Lepisosteus oculatus: one gene and its partner. The protein of the gene in region 2 binds, or shares a complex with, the protein of the main gene of each other region. Links are inferred from orthologs where the notes say so. Each region holds a gene or a part of one and is shown on either strand. Other genes may lie near its edges.

Region 1 (3,920 bases), about 8.4 Mb from region 2:
CCTGTGACCATTCCAAAACCACTATTCTCCTCGTCTATGGTTCTTTCAATGTTATTGATAGCTACAGTACAGTATGTCATTCTTAACATCAGATGCAGAACCTTCCTGAGCAGGTTCATTGCACGGTACATTGCCTGTCTTAAAGCAGTCTACAAGCCTGCAGCTCTTCTAGATCTTTGCTTTAAGGCTACACAAAGCAGCTAGTGACAGTCATTGCCCTTTCTTCAGCAGGAGTTAGCGCCACAACCTCCCCAGCCTGCCACTGCTAAGAAAAACAAGCTCTCTGCCTTCTTGTCAGCCCACCTGTTTGTACTGTAGTTGCAGTGAAGAGTGCAGCTAACAGTCTTCTCCATGTCTGCCAGGACAGTGAGATCCTTCTCTGTTGGATCCCAGAAACTCAGACACCCTTCACTGCTGCCCTGTTAGACCTAATTACTAGTGATTCAAAACCTTCACGAAAGTCATCAATGCTATGGAACAACAGTTGGTTGACTTTTGTGATTCTTATAATTTTAATCAATGTAACTGTTTTAGGAACAATAGTCAAAATATTTACCATCCAACCAGATATTTTATTTTGGAATTGAAATACAATCTTATATACAGTATGACGCTTACAATTTATATTATACAGTATAGGACTCATTTCAATACAGTATAGGACTCAAGTCTTATTTATTCCTGTATCTGAGTTATGAAGTTTAAATAAACATGTATTAACATGCTACTCCTTTGTTATATTTCTAAACCATCAAGTGATCATTTGAAAATGTAGTACTGAACATCATTTAGAATTTTTTTGGACTATTCCTAATGTATTTGGGTATAACTGTATAGTTTAAATACTTTCAAATAACATTTTGTGAAAACAATGTGAATAATAAAACAATTGCTCTAGTTAAGCATTTAAATTACTTAAACTATTTTGAAGAGTATTTACAAATAAAATATCAGAGACCGTTTTGCTATGAAACTATCGGATCCCTGCACCTTTCAAGATCTGCATGTAGCATTCTGACACTACAGTGGATGTCACACTACGATGTGGGTTTTTCAGTGTTTTTTTTTTATTTTCCATTTCGTTCTGCCATCCAGATATGAATTGGTCCTTGCTACTTCTTCGCTTAATCACAATTTAGTCAAATGCTTTTATTGCCCTCTGATTCAATAAGGCGATTTTTACAAATAATTATAGTTCTTCTATCATTCTATTCTTCTTTAAATCGTATTTCTAGAATCTGGTTCAACGCGTTTAACAGTAAGTGAAACTCGTTTTACAGTAAGTGAAAAGAAACTGGCATCCATAACACAGCCCCTCTTGGCTAAACGGAGATAACCCAGGTTGCAGGCGATAACTCCCGCATGCGAGGAAAGCAGAGCACCCAGATTAGTGACCTGGTGCACCTGCGAACTCCGGCCGGCGGGCGAATTGAATGATGAGGCGCAACTCTTCGCTGCGGCGAGGCTGAAGTGAAAAGCGTACCGTACCTCACAGAGCCGACAGCAAATGAGCTCACCTATAGCGCTGTCCCGCCCCCACGGCCCGGGGAAGACGGGGGCAAAGGCGGTGTGTGTGTGTCTGCCGAGGGAGGGTCTCGGCTGGGTGCTCGCCAATCACGGCGCGCACATTAACTTGCTGTCAGCAGTCCAGCTGAGTGCAGGGAACAGTGGCCGGGGGACAAGGGCTGGAACTTTCCCAGTGCGAAAACTCAGCGAAACAACTTTGACAGAGGGCTGAAAACAGAAACCTTACAGCGCAGCACCAGCCTTTCCAGATTTCTGCTTGTTAGTAAGAGAGAGGCTGTACAATCCTCGGCAGTGTTCTGAGACTGTATAGCCCCCCTCCCGATGACAAAAGGTCTCTCTTCATTATAAATGGATATTGCTAGTGTTTATTAGTTACGTTCTCCTTTCATCATTACCGTTAGCTAGCAGCTATTTGTTTTTCGGTAGTTTTTTTTTTCCATTATTATTTTTTTTTCTATTGTGAAAACTTTTCAAAAGCACCGCTGGAATTTCTGGAGGACACGGGATTTGATAAAGGACGTGTTCAGTGCTATTTCGACCACCATGACCGCTGAAAAAGAAAAAAAGAGGTAGGGTGCATTTTTCATACAGTATTTAACCTGTTTTTTTTTTGTTTAATGTTTCGATTGAGTTACTGTCTTGGCAAGCACAATGTCTTTGCAATGAACATAACGTGAGGACCGATGTAACCAAGATCACTGACGCTGCTGTTAATAGGACTTGTTGCGCTGCAGGGAGAACATACTGTAGTGAAGTTTAAGAAACTGCTGTCAACCTTCTGACAAGGGCAGCAACACAAATGTAATGATATGAGCTTATACCTTATGATCCGGACCTCTTATGCGATGTAAAGTGAAAGGATTTGCGCTGAATATTTTTCTTTCAAATGTGTGTATGTGGCGTGCAGCTGCGATCTGCACGGTATTTATATGCCGTCTTAATTTATTATATGATGTACATACTGTACATTTTGTCACGGTACAGCCTGTTACAGATACTGCGATCTTGTCCAACACCAAATGTGTCCGACATACGGTACCAGTTCCAGAAGATATATGCTACCATTACAAAAATAAATATTGTAATATTGATTGAGAGTTTAATGGTTAAACTTGTTTTTTTGTTTTTTTTTTCTCTGCTGCTGTTTACGGGATTCTTTTTTTAAATCTAAACTTTGATCTCTGATTTGATTGGTATACCACGGAGGAGTGTGAGCAGAGGCGACCTGTGCGAGTCTCTGGTATCGTGCGGCTGTTGTGTGGCCCTAGTTAATACGCAGGTTAATTAACAACAGGTGAAACAAAGCGTAGAGGTAAAATACAGTGACAGGTCGATTGTGAGGTGACTAGGACACTGTTTTCGAGCTGTAGTAGTTGCAAAGCATTGACCAATTCTGTCATAAAATGTGATGGCAGAGTTATTTGTGTGTCTCAGCATTTTAATATACTGTAATCTGCGGTAAAGCAACATAAATCATTGCGCACATGGTTACCTTTTCATGTTTTTAACCCTTAGAATATGGTATTATTCATTTAATTGTCTCGGCTGCAAAAGTGAAGTGATTCTGAAAAATCTTTTTCGTTTTATACTGTATTCATCCTCATACCCAGTGGAATAAAATAAATATCCAATAATAAGTGTAATAAATAAGATAGGGATCTTTTAAAATATTAAGTATTTTAGCTGTTCTTATTTCAAGAATTTATCAGGTTTGCAATTTATGACCTTTCCCATTAGTTGCATACCGTATGGGAGACCGTAACACTGGGAAACTACAGTATGTGTAATTGATTTGTAAAGTCACAATACTGTGTAATTCTGTACTTTGCATTTGACAGGTTATTAGAACAAAATGTTAATTTCCATCGTTGTACATAACATTTACACATTAAATGTCCTCTGTTTCAGTTTGTAATTCTTCTGTAAGTAAAATTATATACATTTTAATTAGAACTTGTTAGGACTGGATATATAGCCTGCAACGTCAGGCTGTTACAAGCAAAACTGTACAATACAACTATTTAAAAAGTATGTGAAGATTTTGCAATGTGTATGATGGGGAAAATGTGTACTTAGTGGCTCTAGTAATAACACAATAAATTCGCTCGCAGTATGACTTCGGTTTGTATACCATACTAAAAGATGGCAGCATCTATACTGCACTCAGGAACATATTGAGTCATCCATTTGATTTATGTTTTGTGTTTTTTTTTCCGTTTGTTTCCATCAGTCTGAAATACAGTTTTGAAATGCTTCATGTTACCAAACTGAAACAGGCCCAGGAAGTGGAGTGTGAGGAATGATCGTTCACTATAGCCTTTCCTCCCTCACAGGCCAAGGCTGTGTGAGTTTATCCATACGCCATGTTAACACGTTTTGTTTCTTTTATCAAA
Region 2 (3,920 bases):
TCAGTAACAGGTTTATTCCATGCTGAAAAGAGAAGAAAGAAAACACATGTCAAACTGACTTATACAAAACAGCACTTTTTTGCTATGCTGTTCTGTATAAATTCAATAAAGCCTTTGCTGTAAAAAAAGACACAAATATGCATTCTAACAAATGCATAAAGTTTCAGCAAATGTGGACAGGTTAAAGCTTTCTCGTCTTAATCCAAGGGGTCTGTGTTTTGAAGTGCTCGACTACTCCATTTGTACTTCATATACTATTTTAATGCACTTTTTAAAAACAAAATAGCTCGATTCTCTTAAGGGCTTTTTCCTTGTTCTCATCACAAACGTGCTCAAAAAAATAAAAAGGGATTAACATTATCACTGCAGTGAAATCAGCCTATATAGAATTCAGACGACTAATTTAGTGAGCCACGTTTTTTTTTTAATCCTAAAATGTTCTTTAACCTCTCTTTTATTTTCTCCGTTATTTGAATACAGAAATGCTCTTTTCTGGACTTCGGAACATCTGTCACTTCCAGGCTCAATCTTCTTCGGTCACATGGAATTACATCCGTCAGTCACTTTCTAAATCACGTGTGCGTAAAACTCTCCCTGATGCTTTTCATTCCCAAACACGTACAACGTGCTATAATGATTTACACCGGTATCGAACGATCGCCGAAAAATAAACGTTTGTCATCTCAATAAGAATTCTGGAAAGGATACAGCTCAGAACGGGTTCTTAATTGAGCTGGTATTGCGTATTTCATTAGACAATTAGGCACTGCGCTGATAGACTCAGCCTGGGTCCGTGTCTACAAAGTTATTAGCGGACTAAGGCCTCGCTTTCCTTCGTCAAAGTGAAGAGCATTTCGCCCAAGGATCGCTGGTCAGTAGTCCATCATGATTTCATTTTAACGCTGACACACACAATGCCTGCATCGCTGTCGAATGGAAACAGCTACATTTTTCCCCACTCCAGGAAAAAAACACAAACACAACTTTCCCTTTTAACCCCTGTAACTGTCCATCGCAGAAAACACGTCAAAAGGGGTCACGGACTATATTCCAGCTGCTTGCCACTGCGTCTGACGGAAACGAATGGTGCAGAGGTGTCGGACAAGAGCAAACACCAAGGAACTCGACTACTTACGAGCTGGAAAAGCACCCGGTATTGTTAATGGATCTTGGAATAAACTCGTCTGTTTTCCCCGTCACCTGCTGCTTCAGGTCAAAGTAAGTGTTGTCCCCCCCACCAAGACTCGGTGCTAAACGTGTCATCTCACGCATTTTACAGACACGCGTGAAACAAAACTCTCGAAAGACAACAATCATCCTGGCGCCTCGTTCCTCACACGTGGAGGTGTTTACCCGGCGGTTCCCCGACGACAGCTGGCGGGCCAGTTTTTCACCTGCTCAGGGGAGAGGAGAGGAGAGGGGAGGGGAGGGGGTGTGGAGGGTTATGTGCACCTGCGCGCCGGGGGGGTTACACCGTCCGCACCTGGGGCGCTACTTACTTTCGTCCTCCCGTTTATTTGGTAGTTTCCCAGTTTACCATTACAGTGTCTGACCAGATCGTCCATGCGGCTCATGAGAAAGGCTATCTTCTCACAGCCGGGCTCCTTCCCCTCGATCCACGCGATTTTGTCGCCCCGGATGTCCCTGGAGGAGTCGCTCCGCTGGCTGACCAGCTGGCCGTCCGTGAACTTGCCGGTCTGGTGGAGGGCTCTGACGTCCTCCAGGATGCGCAGTCCAACCTCTTCCCCGAGGAAATTGTCCACCACACAGATGCCGTGCTTGTTCATGCAGGGCACGATGTACTCCATGGCCAGCTTCTGAGGCTGGGCTTTCGTCTGACCGTTGGGCTTAATGTTATTGTGAATCCCGTCCCCGGCTTGCTTGTTGTTGGCGATGCCACCCGGCTCGTCCGCGCAGTTGATATGATCCGTCGTCCCTTCCCTCTCCGGAGGCCCCGTGTCCGCCGGGCTCTGGGAAGCCGGCGTGTCCGGCCCGGGGCGGGCCTTCTGCGGCGGCTGTGCTCCTTTCCCGTCTCGGACCGCCCGGTTCTTCTCCGGCTGCGACGGGCTCGGCGCTTTCCCCGCCTCCTTGCACACCAGCTTGTGCTTCTTCCAGTCCTGCTTCTGGTGTTCCCTGCTGCAGTAGAAGGAGGATCGGCAGCGCCCGCACTTGAGCAGGTTCTCCATCTTCCCGCAGAGCTCGCAGTACTGCCGGTCCCGCTCCAGGTCCGACAGCGTGCCCTCCTCGCTCGCCATGGCTGCGAAGTTCAGCGGCGGCTACTGGCCCTTTAAATCCAGCGCTGCCCCTCGCCCCGGCGGCGCAGTACAAGTTTGGAAGGGATCCGCCGCCGCAAACAAGCCCAAAGGAAAACCTGCTCCCTCCGCTTCGGCGCGACGCACTTTCATCACCCACGCTGCGTTACCCTCTGCGGGTTACTGGAGGGCGAACACCGGACAGTGCAGACGGCACATGGCGCACTCCCTCTGCACTCCGAAATGCCCCTGGTCTCAGAGCGCCAGTCTCCCAGAGACACATGGCGCCGCGCTCTTTCTCCGCTCCTCACGTCGTCCCTAACCAACCCCAACCCCTGACGTCAACGAGGGAAGGGCAGGGCCCGCCTAGAGCCATTCACAAGAACCCCAGCAGTGGAGTGCGGCCGGGGAGGCGTGCGTGTCTGTGTGCAGTCCGCGGCGTTGTCAAGTCGCCCAGACAAATCGGGTGCCCAGCCCGTAGGCGGTTTCGGAACCGTGACACCTGCGGCCGCTCCGACGCGCTTCGGAACGCGTTCGCCTCTGTGCCTCAGAATTCCAGACACAGCGACGTCACAATGCCGAGGGGGGGGAAACAACTAAATCTGTTCTGGGTTTCCTCAGAACTGAAGCCTTGAAATTAGGGGCTCGTCCCTGGAGCGCCACCCAGCCGCTGCTGTCAGAACTGCCGAGCGCTTATTTTAAGACGTAGTTTTTTCTGTGGAGATCTGGCATTTACGACACGCGACGCGCAGCGCGCGTTTCCCTATTCTTCGAAATACTCTGCCATTGCATGTATTCTTCGTGACCCATCAGAAATCCGGGATTTGCCGATTTTGCCATCTTCTACAGCAATTATTGATCAGGCAGTGCTTACAAAGAAGAAATAACGCATTTAAACACACACCCTGAAGGTGTTACGTTTGCGGGAAGTATCTGTGTTTTGTGTGATCTAACGGTGCCAAGAGCATCTTGGGACCCTTGAAAGATGTTTTTTCTGAGTGTCCCAGAAAAATCCCGTTGTTTTTATTAATGCAAATGATAGGCCAGCTGTTGAGCTTTTTTGTGGACTCCAGGGATACTGCTGTTCAAAGCAACGTGTTTTAAGCGCCACCCTCTCTTGGCACAATAGTTCGGAACCCTCATATCTCACTTTTGATATTATAATGCACCCCGTATTTGGACTTGGGTTTTGTTTGTGGGTTGCAAGTTTCCTCACTGCGTGTGCTTAACCCGATTAGGCAAAATCAGCCTTGTTTCCCTAAAACCAGACGAGATTTCTTTTTTTTTTCGGTCTGAATATAGTAAAGGCATTGTATGATCAAAGGTACCGCATAATCAGTTATAACAGAAGCATAATTCCCTGCATTTGTCACACCTTCATCCCATATACTTGTAGGATCCATAACAATAATCTACTTTTTTTCCTGTCATTAATTATTATGTGCTCACGTGTAAGAATTGCATTAACTTTTTGAGTGTTTTTTTAAATGAAATACCGGTCTTGTACAGTACGTATACACTGTACACACCACGTTAGAGAGCCGCTATATCTTAAAAATACATTTCCCAAAATGCAATTTTCCAGTATGACGTATTTTTAAATTGAAAAGATCGGCTCCCGGCCTGAAAAGCAAAGCTCATGCCACTATTAAAATAAGTACGTCTTAG

Evidence for each region.
Region 1: the proteins of egln1a (region 2) and epas1b are in contact, whole or in part, in a crystal structure (PDB 7Q5X), measured with the Homo sapiens proteins. The link is inferred for Lepisosteus oculatus from reciprocal best matches to the Homo sapiens genes EGLN1 and EPAS1. Residues at the interface, in NP_071334.1 of Homo sapiens: Gln239, Leu240, Val241, Ser242, Lys244, Ile251, Arg252, Trp258, Asp277, Ile280, Arg281, Ile292, Asn293, Gly294, Arg295, Thr296, Lys297, Tyr310, Val311, Arg312, His313, Val314, Asp315, Pro317, Asn318, Asp320, Arg322, Arg370, Trp389, Tyr390; in NP_001421.2 of Homo sapiens: Asp525, Leu526, Glu527, Thr528, Leu529, Ala530, Pro531, Tyr532, Ile533, Pro534, Met535, Asp536, Gly537, Glu538, Asp539, Phe540, Gln541, Leu542.

Annotation. Positions count from the first base shown.
Region 1 is NC_090712.1:13,467,969-13,471,888, reverse strand, and holds the start of epas1b (endothelial PAS domain-containing protein 1), read left to right. Parts: upstream 1-1,612; 5' UTR 1,613-2,070; coding exon 2,071-2,096; intron 2,097-3,920.
Region 2 is NC_090712.1:5,069,797-5,073,716, forward strand, and holds the start of egln1a (egl nine homolog 1), read right to left. Parts: upstream 2,814-3,920; 5' UTR 2,256-2,813; coding exon 1,500-2,255; intron 1,219-1,499; exon of another isoform or gene 1,195-1,218; intron 1-1,194. UniProt on the Homo sapiens protein: Cellular oxygen sensor that catalyzes, under normoxic conditions, the post-translational formation of 4-hydroxyproline in hypoxia-inducible factor (HIF) alpha proteins.